2 linked regions of the Styela clava genome follow. The protein of the gene in region 1 purifies or fractionates together with the protein of each later gene. This does not show direct contact. Links are inferred from orthologs where the notes say so. Each region holds a gene or a part of one and is shown in the gene's direction. Other genes may lie near its edges.

Region 1 (7,963 bases):
CGGCTTATCCTTATGGCGAACCACGGCCTCTCGTCCGGTTACCATTCCAAGTCGGGTATGGGATTAGTTGTATTGTTTGTTTTCGGAAGCATGGACTTGGTGGTGGAGGAAGCCGTAACCGACCAGCGGTTACGTGAACCACCCAACGACGGCGAGGAGTCCAGCAATCCTCACGCACATAACCATCCCTGCATGGGATTCGAACCTGCGAACCCACGCAGAGTAATTAGAGGTGCGGTGGCGAGCGTATTCCTAACGCTTAGCCCGTTGAGCCACTCCGCCGCGCAATTACCGCCTATGCAATTACCGTACATAGCCTAGGGCCATGAGGTGACATCTGTATGTCATAAGACTGTAAGACATGTCCTCATATTCTGATATTGCTGTATTGAGTTAGGAGTTTGTTTATTATTCTTTAAGGACCACTTGTCAACTGCAAAAAGACTATATTCGTTTTTTAAATTTGTGACATGAAAACATCACCATTGGATTCTTCAAAAAAGAAGGGGTTTACACTTACTGTTTGTTTGATGTCTTTCAATGTGGGGGCTATTCTTGGAATCGAAGAACTAATATTCTGATATACAGATAATATATGATATACAGAGACCCTGAGACCAGAGATATGCTGATAAATGTGAACATTTTCTTGTCCTGGCCTTTCCTCTTTTCTTATTCCAGTTTGATTTATTTTTCAGTTTTTAGTCTATAAAATGACTGCCCCTATGGCAGAAACTGAGGATGATTGGGGAAATTTTTCATCAAATTCATTTTCATGTGATGGAAAAAAGGAGGATTGCTTCAGTGATGATTATTTCAATTCTTTTGGAAATGGAATAACGCAAGGTCTGAATAATTGCACAACATTGAACGTTGCAGAGAATTATGGAAGTATGGAAGATTTGGTTAAAAAGTTTGAGCAGAAGATTTCAAAATGTTTTAAGATACAAAATAAATCAAGTAACAATGATAAAATTGTAAAACCATTACAAACATTAAATGATATTTTAGACTACAATGATATTTGGAAGTCGATCACTGATAACTATGGATTAGTTAAACCATTGGATTGGTGTAGTTCACAAATTCGTAAATTACACATTCCTGCTCTGGATCTCAACATATCAGACCAAAGCAATGTAGAAAAAGATCTCGATGGATATTCAGAATTTGAAAGCAATGAGCTTAAAAATCAAATGGATTTTCACAAATTAATTGAGTATAATGTATACTCAGAATGTGAGCCTTATCAAATGTCTTGTCAGAATTCTGAAACAACTGGAAATGGGAAATTACAATCTGCGGATGAAGTCATTCAAGAACTAGAAGAAATTATGTTGGATGCAGATGAGCAGGACGCAGCATTTGACGACGAGTTGGAACAACAAACTGGAATTATCATTGCTGATACTGATGGAAGCATAGATGCATTTTCAATTGAAAACGACCTGATGAGTGACGAGAGCAGTATAATTTATGGACGTAACTTGGGATCGCCATCCAGTCAGGAGGAAAGTGACAGAGCGTCTAGTCTGAAACAAATGTCAATTGCGGAATTAAATGAAGAGCTGTGTAGCTTGGAAAGTACTGTCAAGTTTCTTTCAGAAGATTTGTTGAATCAGTTAAATTTTCGCGATGAGCTTTTATACGAGAAAGAAGTTCGTAACACATTTATTTCCAAAATATTAGAAGTTCAACGTAAACAGGAACAATTTCAGCAGAATGATAAAGCGCATTCTAGCAGATTCAAGTTAGGGAAATTGTCAAAAAGTTTCAGCATGTCAAATGCATCAGTGTCATCCTCTCCTGGGAGATTTCTCACTACTGTAATTCCTTTTGACGAAGGTGGTGTTCCTCCACTAGAGGGTCTTCAGGCTCTTATTAAATTACTAGATGCCATCAAAGCAGATAGTGAAGAAGTGCCGTCGTTGATAACCAACTATATATTGAAAGTATTAGTTCCGGCACCGACAAGCGCACGCACTTTGACTTTATAAGATGCCGCAATTCAAATGACGCATGGTTATTTATTTATTTGACTTTTCAATGCAGCTTTTCCTAGGAAAAGTTATTCCAAGTTCGTCCATTTCAAATTGTGTTATTTTATTGGTAATTCTATTATTTGATCAGCTTCATGGTCAAATTTTTGTGTAGTTTGTCCCACTCAATGATAATGTTCCTAAAGATGTATTAATTAGTTTGCAGTTACCGGTAATCAATATAGTGATGCTCCATTATGAAATTAACAGTCTTAATTGTGTTGTGATCGCCCTCTACTCAGTTTAAATTGGCATACTTTGGGGGTACGTCATAGTATCAATATTGTAATGTATAGAGTATCGCAAATAAGACAATATTTTGTGACATAAATTGATTTTTCAACGTTATATATTATATATTGACGCTTTCCGCTTTCATAACCAAATTCTGGAGTTATTTGGATATCTCTCTGCAGCAGTGTGCTAAATTTACCTATGTTATAAGGAATTATGAATTTGCAATTGCTACAAAACTTTACATTGCTTGCCAGTTAGTCATTCATGATAGGTTTAACTTTTATTATTTTGTTATTTATCTTTGCTTTGTTCCCATAACATTATTCACTTTGCCAGAATCTTTTTTTATTGAATTCTTCATTTTATATCCGTCAAATCATTATGCAAGATAACCCGTTAGAAATAAATTTTTTAAATCGGTACATTTTATTTAGTAAAGTATGGTAGTTAATAAAATATAATTGTATGAAGGTTATTACACTTTTCAAGCCATATCTTGACGCTTTTTCAATATCAGTATTGAGTAATTTTAGTGCAGTATTGGTAAAAAGATCGGATGTGGATGGGACTTTTTGTTGCTACTACTACAATAATTAATTTGTCAAGTGAAACGTTTTTTTCATATTTCATATACTTCTGTGTATGTTAAGTGTTGTAGGAATATACCTCAAATCATACTCCACTGGGCATAACTTAATATTCAAACATAATCAGACAGACATACTGACTACTTGGCCACATTGTGCCGGAACAAATTCTTTGTATACTTAATTGATTTCATAATAATTTCAATAATAAATTTAAAACAAAAGCTGGCGACACTGTTGTACATTTTTAAAGGGGTGCCGTGTGTGTATGATGTTAATAATACTTAATTTGTTAAATGCTTTACCTGCAATTGATTGTTATTTAATTATTCTCAGTGTTAATGAATATTAGTTTCGATTGAGCTGTTTATCAGGTTTTTATAACTCTGTAATTCACTTCTTTGTCAACATAGTAATTGCAACAGTGGTGCCTGCTGTAGAATTCAATTATCATTATATATTTAACAGTATCGTAATCTCAACCTATTGTCAAACATGTTCTTTAATGATACAATTTATTTTTTTTGCTGACACTTCTTCACGAGCAAAAATATGTACTCTGTAAAAATTGTCCTTTCTAGACTTGAGGTGTGCAACCAGATTCCTGTATTTAGAGTTTTATGTGGGATTTTATAACTCCAATTGCATATATCATGATTTGCTACAAAAATTTTGCTACAATTTTCCTATAAATCAAGGTTTTATCTGAAAAAGAATTCTAGAAAATTAAACTATTAAATATGAATATCTCGGTAAACGTTTGAACAATGAATTAAATGTAGGCAGCGATTTAAAAATATCAATCTATTGTATAATGAACATCTCCTGAGTTTATTATTTTCAGTCGCTAAGACTGGATTATATATACCAGTATATATTCCCAAATCTTTTTTGGAAATTCATATTAATCCTGCACTGCACACTGATTTTAAATAGGTTCATGTTTTTTTTCAAACTCAATATTCAAACAAATAGTTTTCTGTCTGTTCTTAATTTTTGTCATTTCTATTGATTATGGTATTTTATCAGCAAATACTAACTGTTATAATTTTCATCCAAGACACTTTACTACTCTTCATTTTTCTTCAAAAACATTACTACTTTTTTTTCACACTTCTTGTGATTGCTTAATAATTGATGTTTGCATGAGTAAATTATATTAATTATTGTATTAATTATCACTTGCTCTTTTTACTTGCCCAGTTCTAGTTTGTGGCCACACAGTCCCATTTTATACTATGTTTGTATCATACTTGATATGAATAGATTGTTCATGTTTGACTTGCCCTAACTAAAATAAGGACCATTTTTATCGCGTATTTTCTATATAAATATTTAATACTCAGAATAGATATATAATATCAAATATTGTTAATAAATTGAGAAGGCAACTTTTTATAGGAGCAGTTAAAATAACTTATTTTAGTACAATTCATATTTTGTTATACAAAAATTCTGTAGTATATTATTCGTCAACATCAAATTGATTTCTAGTCATATTAGAGTATCCACTGTTGGGTTATTATAGCATTTTATTGAGGGTGCTGTTATTTATCATTATAATTAGTTATATTATATTTTGTCGAATAAATATCAAGAAAATCATTTTTAAATTTTTAGTACAAGTCACAACATAATTTCGGGATTTGATACATTTTTTCGATGTTCCACTAGAAATTGTTTATGTTAGGCATGTAACCATAATTTATACCCATTTTAAAATTTCATGTGTTTTAAATTAATTTATGCTAATAATTTCTAGAAAAAGTTCTCATGAGTAAGAGCATAATTTTTGTAGCAGCCAGTGTCCCATGTGTTTTTTTGGTGTAGTATTGCTTCGAAATTGCCAGAAAGATGTTAAAACCGGGAAATCTTGCCTTGAAGTGACCCAACATTATTACTATTTTTCTGATTTGTATTATTATCAGTATGAACACAGAAGCGATTATCCAAAAATCAGAATAATTTCGAGATGGTACACTTTTAATTAGTACCGTATTCTATATTTATCATATGTCAATGCCCCATACAGTGTCAACAATTTTTACTTTTCCTATTTTTGCTAATTTTATATCTTCATCTGTATTGTTTGATCTTCATGACTTCATTTAATAATTGTTTTCAATTTTTTCACAATGTTTTATGTCATAAGTTAGAACAATATTCTTAAAATAGAAATTTGGATTTAAATATCTCAAAATAAATATGGAAGATGAAGATAACCAAGATGAAGCTGCATGGGATGATCAGGCCGAAGGAGTAAGTAGCAGAGATCACATTGGAGATGATTCAATAAAATATATTGTTGCAAAAAAAATGTTTTTATTAATTCTAATTTAGACTATCTTGCTGTATTTCTTTTGCAATGAATATAATAGCCTAATTCCTGTTCGGTATTCAAACAATTGAAAAGTCCTTTTTATTTCTTGACTCAACTGAATATGTGGTAATATTTACACAGAACAACCTAAATATTGTGGGGTATTGAAGTACCAAGTTTTTTTTTTTAATAGTTGATAATATGTACAGGACAAATTATTTGTGGGAATCTGTTATCAAAATAAAGATATTTGTGTAATGTTTGCTATATATGCAACTATTTAATTGCATATTCACCAATTAAATTAAATAGTTTTTGGAAATTATGATTTGCTTTTGAGATAACAGGTACTCAATATTATTATTATATTGTAGATATCTTCTTTCTGGTAACGTAAGCAAGTTACATCTAACTTTTCGAAATTATTTTAATTTTTTTTTGTGCCTGTCAAGTATCTTAAGTTCAAAACCCATAACCACAATCTCACCCAGGGTGTAATATATTGAATACGCAAAGTAGAATTGGAAAGATTCCGTTCCTGGCTGCTTGTTCTGAGCCTTGTTCAGACTTAACATTTGATAAAATTCAAAATAAATTGGCAGTCGTATAGCTTCTTGTGAAGCACACCAAAAATTGGAGACTGTTTTTATTGGTCATCAATATTGTAGACTTTGGTTGTTTGCAAAGTAGAAAGTATTGATTTATTGAATCTGATCTTAACAGGTAATATTGATTTATTAGTTTCGTTTTCTAATAAATGGTCAAAATGGGTTTTACTTTTTCCTAGGTTGGTGCCCAAGCTGAGATTGGTGATGATATGGAAGCAACACGAAATGAATGTTTGAAAAATTTAGCAAGTACTGATTATATCATGGAGCCTTCCATTTTTAACACTCTCAAAGGGCAAGATATTATTTACTTTATGAATACCTATGTCCATGTTTTTTTAGCCTTATTTTTTATAGGTTTCAATTTTCAACTGATATAATTGATAAATTTTCTATATAAAGGAATAATATAACAATGGAGATCTCTTTATTATTTATTGATATACACGCCATCGTAATAATGATTGGACACAAGGCTGTTGTTTTTCATATGGTTTAGTTATCGACTGTTTGCGCCTTTAATATAAATTAGAGTATTGAAACTTATGGTATACAAAGGATTTGAAAAGGCCAGAATTTTTTTTGAAAAAGTTTTAAAATTTTTGTAATAGAATATATCCTAAATTGGGTAATGTTTAAGAGAGAGTTGCTCAAATTGCTGTTGTATTCTTGAATAGCATATTGTAAAAAATTAACATTGCTGTTAACTTGGCTTGAATTCTCTGTCGGATGTTGATGCTTAATATTTTTTATGAATTTACATTCTAACATATGCATAATTAATGCATAACTTTCTATATTAAAAATTATTGATTTTGGAGGTATTCAAAATTTGAATCTTTGTTTTGTACATCTCACAGAAATATATTGAGAGCCATAACATCAAAATTTGGATGTCACTCACATCAATACTTTTTTCGGGGCTCCTGAAGTATGCGAACCAAGATGGCGGACATCGGAATGTAATATGTGTACTAGGTTAGGGTTAGGCCATAATTTTAGATACAAATACTACGGGAGGCACTTGGCTACTCTTCGAACTCATAATAGGACTAAAATAAGGAAAATTGGAATAAAATTATGGCCTAACCTTAACCTGTTACCCATGCTACATTCCGATGTCTGCCATCTTGGTTCGCATACTTCAGGAGCACCCTTTTTTCTTTATCATGTTCACAATTATTTATATTTCTCTTGGATTTTAGGTATTTCCAAGCAGGAGGGATGCCAGAAAAAGTTGTTGAATTATTGTCTGATAATTATACTGCTGTTGCACAAACTGTCAATCTTCTTGCTGAATGGTTGATTATGTGTGGTAAGTCTTAGTAATGCATTCATGCTCTATGTATCTACCATATTCTTGTAAACAATTAGTGTTAAAAGTTAATTAAGTGGGTAGACGCAGTTATATAATTGTGGTTAACTTTTTATTTTGGGACATGACGCGTACATATGGAAGTTTCGCAACTAATGCAAGCATCGAGTTAAAAAATGGAAGTAGTCCTTATAAGGTTAATGCTTTTATTTTCCAAGCCCCATGTGACTTGATATTTCGAGGAACTGTTTGCTTTAATTAAATGGGAACGGTTTTTATCCCATATTGTGCAACTGCTTCCATATTGTATGCTTGCCGATCTTTTCGGAAAACTCTGTGCCTTCTTGCATTGATACTATGAGATTTGCTACATGTTTGAAATCGTACAAATGAAAATGATACAAATAAAGGTACATTTTTGACAGACATGTATAAATTTTACTATTTTCTACATACTCATTTATTTGGTAACTGATTATGAATGATACTTTTCAGTCATTCCAAGCCTAGCAGCCTAATGGGGATTAGTAGAAGCTTGTATTTGTCTTTGTTCGGAACCATGTGACATAGTGCTTGTAAAACGATTTTTCCATTTATGGAGATATAAAAAAGCAGCGAAAATAAAACATGTTTTGAAGAATTAATTGTTTTTCTTATTCAAAAAAAATTAAAAAAAAAGTACATTCGGTAAGTAATTGGCTGGATGCAATCCCACACCTTTTACCTTTCATTGCAAAATATTATTAATACAATCTTTTTGATTTATGGATAACGTTAATTCCAAGCGCAGTTTTAAAGTTCTATGGTTCATTAATGTTGTTACAAAATTATCCATATTTTTAAAATAGGTTTAGCTC
Region 2 (6,534 bases), on another chromosome or scaffold:
ATAATAATTAAATTAATCTTGTTCAGTAATGGCGTCGGCTGTGCTCAGGTGGCTAGATGGTTTATAATCTGGGAAATAGATACCCTTATTGTACCCGTAACTGGTGAACGAGAAGTCTGTAAGGTACCGATATAATAGTATATTGACTTATGGAGTAAAAATTGCTGTTGTCAAGTGTGCTTTCAGTATGGTGAGAAAATAAACTACTGATTACTGATTCCAAAACACTAACTTAGCTCTAAAATGTGGCCGAATTTCACAAGCGCCTGAGCGTACGTAGGGTTTGAGTCTGAGATGCCGTGATAAATATTGGTGCCGGTAATACAATATAATACCGTGATAAATATCGGTGCCGGTAATACAGTGATATATCAGTATATATAATATAATACCGTAATAAATATCGGGACCGGTAATACAATATCGTTTTATTATTGAAGAAACAGGATTGCTTTAGTCCGATGGTCAATATACATTCCCCGCCCGACTTCTGGACTTTGATTGTGTAAATGTGTAGTTGTGTGTTGCGATTTTTGTACCGGTACGGTTACTACGACGGGGTTCAAAATAAACCTCATCATCTATCAATGCAACTAATATTACAGCAGTACTGTATTCGCGGTACTGAATCAACCAGTTTAATCCTAGTGTCTTGAGTGTTGGGAAAATGGTGAGATGTATGCTGGGATAAGAAGCCCTAATACTGTAATATTAGGGTGACCATAACACAGTAACAGGTAGTCAGGTACCGGTATAGGGTCTGGTATAGTTTAGTACCACATCCACTTCTAGTTGGCCTGGCTCAACACTTTTTGCATATGTCAATCCTAACCCCCACCTGACTACTTCACCGAAAAATTACGTCCTACCGGTTTCACAGTGGCGTAATACTGTAGTAAGGCCCACCGATATATGCGGATGGTCGTCCAAAACGCGCAGACGATAACCCGAAATCGAGCAAGCTATTTCTCTCGTTTTCTCATCGCAACGATCACGATAGGAGAGAGATTGCCGGCTTTAGCAAGTTCTTATCGGTGGCGCAGATGCCATTTCGGGCGATCGTAATTATACTTTGGCAATCCCTATGACGTGATGGTGACGTCGTAGTGACGTAATTTTTGGATGGCATAGTCAGGTGAGGGTTCATATGTTATTCCTCGTTAAAATCGTTATGCTACGCCCACTGGAAGTACTTGTGGTACTAAACTATACTAGACCCCCGGTATATACTGATTTGGATTTTCTCATTAACTGCATAAAAAGTTTTGACTCATTTCAAGTACTGACACTTCTGCACTTGCTGTGACTATGGCACCAACAAAGTCTTGTATCAGACACACACCAGCCCAATGCTGCGATGTCTGAATCCTAGAATCTCATATGGCTGTTTTGATTAAGCTTTTATTTTGCCTCTTCACACATTCTACTTCGATAATATAACATGTTGTATCGAGTGATAAATAAATTCTAATATAACATTCAATATCAAAAATAGTGCAGTAGCGTGACTGGATTTCAGCTTTGAATTTGGATTGTATATAATATATATATGTGTACCAAAAATTAGTGTTGCTTTGTGATTTCATCCAGCTGTTTATTAAAAATGAGTGTCAGTTTTTTTAAACACAAACAGGCGTTAATCAATACCTACAAAGAGGTTCTTGATGAAAAATCGGACACAGATTGGGCTCTTTTCACGTATGAAGGTAAAGATAATGAATTGAAGGTGGCAGGTACTGGAGAAGATGGCTTGGAAGAATTAGAAACTGAATTTAATAGTTCCAAGATCATGTATGCTTTTATTCGAGTTAAAGATCCAAAAACTTCTCTCAACAAGTTCATATTTTTGCATTGGCAAGGTGAAGGTGCTCCTGCAAATAGGAAAGGTGCTTGTGCCAACCATGTTAGGGATGTGGAAAGATTTTTTAAAGGAGCTCACATTACTATCAATGCTCGAAACGAGGATGATGTTACCCCAGAGCAAATCATGGAGCATATTAATCGTGCATCCGCGTCTACATATGCATTTGACAAGACAAAAGGTTCATATGATGATCCATCTGAGCCTGTTGGGTCAGTATATAAAAAGATAAATCCTGGTGCAGAAATAAGTTCCAAAAGAAATGAGAATTATTGGGAAAAGCAAGAAAGGGAAGAAGAGCAAAGGAAAAAACAAGAATTGAGAAAGGCGCAAGAAGAGAAAAATAGATATGCTCAAGAAGTTCGCGAAAGGGAAAAAGAGTCAAGCATGAGAAGACAAAATTGGGAAAAAGAAAGAGAAAAAGAAATTAGTGAGAAAGTAAGAGCTGCAAAACTTACTGACGACACTGCTGATGTTCGTAAAAGAGAGAAAGAAAAATGGGAAGCAGAACAACGTGAATTTGAAGCACATGAAGAACGGGGAAGAAAAAGAAGTGAATCTATAGAGAAAGCAGCTGAAGCAGCGCATCTTGTGCAACAACGAGACACTAATATGCGTGCTTTATGGGAACAAAAAATAAATGAAGCGACTCCTTCAAGTCAACCTGTTATTCAAAGGCAGCCCTCGAAACAAGGCGAAAGACCAATTGAAACATATCAACCGGCTGATGTTGAAGAACCAGAATATGAAACATTCGAAGAAGAAACTCGGAATAACGATAACAATATTGTGGACAATAAGCAGGAACCCACAAAATATGATGCGGAAGCAAATAAGAGTGGATATTCAGCAAGAGCTATTTATGATTATCAAGCTGTTGATGAGACCGAGATCAGTTTTGATCCCAATGATATTATCACTGATATTGAAGATATGGACGAGGCATGGGGAAGAGGTGTGGCCCCTGATGGACACTCTGGACTTTTTCCTCTCAATTATGTCGAGCGTTTGGAATCTGCTCCAAAAGCAGCAGAAGGTCATAAAACTTCCGATAATGTTTATGATGCAGTGGGCCATAATCAACAGGACGAAGGTCAAGGGGCACAAGATAATATATATGATGCAGTAGGAGAAAATCCTGGGGAAAGTAATGATGAAGATATTAAAAGTCCACATTCAGCAAGAGCTCTTTATGATTATCAAGCTGCTGATGATTCCGAAATTACTTTTGATCCAGACGATATCATCACTAACATTGAAATGATTGATGAAGGATGGTGGAGAGGTTCAACACCAGATGGAAAGTATGGACTTTTTCCAGCTAATTATGTGGAGCTTATTACAGAGTAAATTACTGCAATTGCCAAAGAATATATTCTTTATTGTGATGCTGCCTAAGTTATAACATGCCTTTATAGGACCAATCCAATCACCAAGTGTTTTTTTGACATTGAGTATTGTGAAAACATACTAATGCATCTTGAAAGTGAAATATTTGTAAATAAGCATGAGTCACAATAATATATCCACGCAAGATTATATTATACTAAGACATGAACACCAACTAGCGGGCTACACATGTTCTTGCTATTTTGCTTCTCAATGTTAACAATCACTTTACTTAGGCGAGATAGTTGCATCATTTATTAATAAATAACTATGGCTGTATCAAAGCTCGGTTGGCTAATTCAATCTAGTTTTAATTATATATTTTACCTGAATGTCATATAAACTATAATGGTATTATTATCTGTTATAAACAATGTTACCTGCGCCTAATTATTTTTCTAATGCAGTTTTTGACATCTGGCTGTCTTTGTTATTGTTGTATCCAATTATAAAACACTATTATTTCATAGTTGTTTTAATCGAAAATCAAAAATAGACTTGAACTTCATTCTTTTTTTGATTACAGTTTTTTCAAATCCTGTCAGACAATGTTTGCTTGTAATATATCTATTTTTTTTTTCAATCAAAAAACATTCAGTATATAACAATATGCTTCTACAATTTTTAATTTGTTTCTGTCCTCCATTAGAATAATTAATTGTTGGCTATATTTTAGGCAGATAAGATCATGATTTATGTCATACTTTACTCGGTCAATATTCTTATTTCATGCAAATTGAATCCAAGGTCATATCATTTGATTGTGAGCTTACCTAATGAATATCATTTGTATTGAAACTGATATAAGATGATATCAAGTTATATATATTTGCTTTTGTAATCCTCACTCAACGTATTCCAATAGGGAAAGCAATTTCCCTCATTTGTGTCTTTACCAAACTGCATTTAGTTTATACATATATTCAAATGTAACGATTATGTCTTAATTTAGATCTTAAAATAAAGACTTCATTATGACATTTTCTTCAAAGCTAACGGATGAAGAAGAATTTTTAAAGAAAAAATATACTGTACTACGTAAGAAGAAGAAAGAGTTACAGCAGCTTCGTATGAAGCGCAAACAACAGGAAAATGAAGCTGCAGAAAATGGCCCAACAAAGGCTAAACAGAAAAAGGGGCTTATGAAGTCTGCATCAGACTCAATATTGAAGTGTAATATTCCAGAGCGAAAAGACGCTGTTGCTAATATCAAAAACGTTTCCTTAAACGCTGCAGCTAATACTGAAGCTGCTAAAAAACTTATTAAATCGGGTGCAATACAGGTCAAAGTTAAAACAAAAACTACCTTTAAACGCTCGTTATCCAAGAAAAAACGAGACGAAGTGATGAAAAAACCTGTTTTTCAGCCATTCAGTCCTTGCAGTGGAACGGGCAGTTCATCAGACCAAGGTGATGATATGTCACTAAAAGATCAGTCTAACGCTATTGAGAGCAATAACAATCAACCAAAAAAAATTGTGCAAAATCGCAAAGAAAGCCCCAAAAAAGTAAAAAGGGAACGTAAATTTGAGAGACATGCACCAAGAAAAGGGAACACAATTTATATTCATGGTTGTGATTTAACAGAAAAACTGCTTGAAAGTCATTTCCAAGGTTTTGGAAAAATTATTAAAATAGACATTGAACAAAATGCACGGAGTGCTTTCATAACGTACAACTCCCTAGAAGCAGCAGATGTTGCCATCGATAAAATGAATGATGCGATGGTTGAAGGAACAAGATTGAAAGTATCTCTTGCCAGGCGACAAAAAATGCTGGAATCTGCAATGTCTTCATCGTTATGGGCTCCTTTAGTCGTTGCCCAAAGTGATAAAGGTCCTACAAATCGCAGAGAAAAAAGAGCGCTCGTAGTTTATGATGATGATGATATGTTTTCAAGCTAAGATTTTCTATGGCTTATAGCAGGGGTGTGCAACCTGTGGTCCACAAGGAAAAATTGTGCAGCCTGCGGAGACGTGCCGATTTTGAAGTGTGTGCAGCCTGGGAAATGAGTTTTTAATTTAGTTTAATCTGGTACCTGTGGGTAATTCCGATACGATACAATGCAAAGCGAACAACGCATGTCATAAAGATTATTAACCAAAAATTTTGTGCTTGCAACTACTTTAAAGCTTAAGATAAATAAAGGTGCGGCCCACGGTTTACCCTCCGTCATTTGAATGTGGCCCTCCTGTATTAAAGGTTGCACACCCCTGGCTTATATACTATTACTAGACATTACACCGATACCAAATATCTGGTCCTTTATTTCACGCCTCGTTTGGATCGTATATTTGAAATTCACAAAAATGTTCTTTCTAAAAATCTGTGTTGTATGGGCTATTTTTTTATAATCACAAATTTTTAAGTTGAGCATGGATGTCCATGTTTATCAATTTTTTTAACACTTGCAACTGCCATATATTATATTTATTATTACTGAAATTCCTATTACCTTTTGACTTTTTTTTTTTTTTACAACATCCTCCTGGCCAGAATCGTTCTACTCCTTGAGTCAGAATATATTGTCCAAGTTTTGGAGCAGGCTCTAGTTAAGATTGAATGATGTAGTCATGAATGAGTCTCCCATGTTTATCTTTTGAAATTTTGATAGAAATGACACACTATTATTAATAAGCTATTTATTATAGCTTAAGAAATTTTAATTTAATTTTACTCCTGTTGGCACTGTCCGTTTTTTCGTTTTTTGTTAGTGTTGAAATCAATAAAAATATAACTGCAATAAAAGTTTTTGATTTTCGACTAAGACTACCGTTTCATACGAACGTCATGTGTATGCAATATGGCTTTATCGCAGAGACAGAGGTCGGGTCAAGTCATATCAACGATATAACAAGTGCTCATTTAATACAACCGTCGGCATGATGAACCGAGGATGACATTGGCTGCGACATCAAAGCCAGGCAGGCAGTTGGAAAAGCAAGCGTCCAATTGAACATATCGAGCGATACAGCTCTCAAAGTCGTACAAGACAACGCCGCTGACGCCAATCTGGTGGTCAAGACATACTCCTCTAATGTGGGGCAATTGCGTCAACACGGTATCAGGGCCTTATCGGAGTCCCGGAATCTTTCACAATTTCATCTCAATCTCCATTTTATATTATCTGATTATGACTATTATTATGAATCTTGTAAAAAATTATAAAACGTCTTACAACTATCAATTTGTGCTTATAATTAATAAAAATAATTGCATTAAATTTATGTACTGATGTTTTGCGGTTGGAATTATTGGATTTCTATGAAGGATTTGCATAGCAT

What was found.
Region 2: the proteins of negative elongation factor D-like (region 1) and negative elongation factor E-like purify together in Homo sapiens (affinity purification with mass spectrometry; 9 studies listed by BioGRID and IntAct, counting the BioPlex papers as one, with this or other methods). This does not show direct contact. The link is inferred for Styela clava from reciprocal best matches to the Homo sapiens genes NELFCD and NELFE.

Annotation. Positions count from the first base shown.
Region 1 is NC_135263.1:11,076,110-11,084,072, forward strand, and holds the start of negative elongation factor D-like, read left to right. Parts: upstream 1-4,959; 5' UTR 4,960-5,068; coding exon 5,069-5,122; intron 5,123-5,970; coding exon 5,971-6,086; intron 6,087-6,996; coding exon 6,997-7,106; intron 7,107-7,954; coding exon 7,955-7,963. Other genes in the region: fasciculation and elongation protein zeta-2-like, read left to right, coding at 714-1,997. UniProt on the Homo sapiens protein: Essential component of the NELF complex, a complex that negatively regulates the elongation of transcription by RNA polymerase II.
Region 2 is NC_135250.1:12,754,284-12,760,817, reverse strand, and holds negative elongation factor E-like, read left to right. Parts: upstream 1-4,217; 5' UTR 4,218-4,224; coding exon 4,225-5,154; 3' UTR 5,155-6,019; downstream 6,020-6,534. Other genes in the region: drebrin-like protein B, read left to right, coding at 1,604-3,211. UniProt on the Homo sapiens protein: Essential component of the NELF complex, a complex that negatively regulates the elongation of transcription by RNA polymerase II.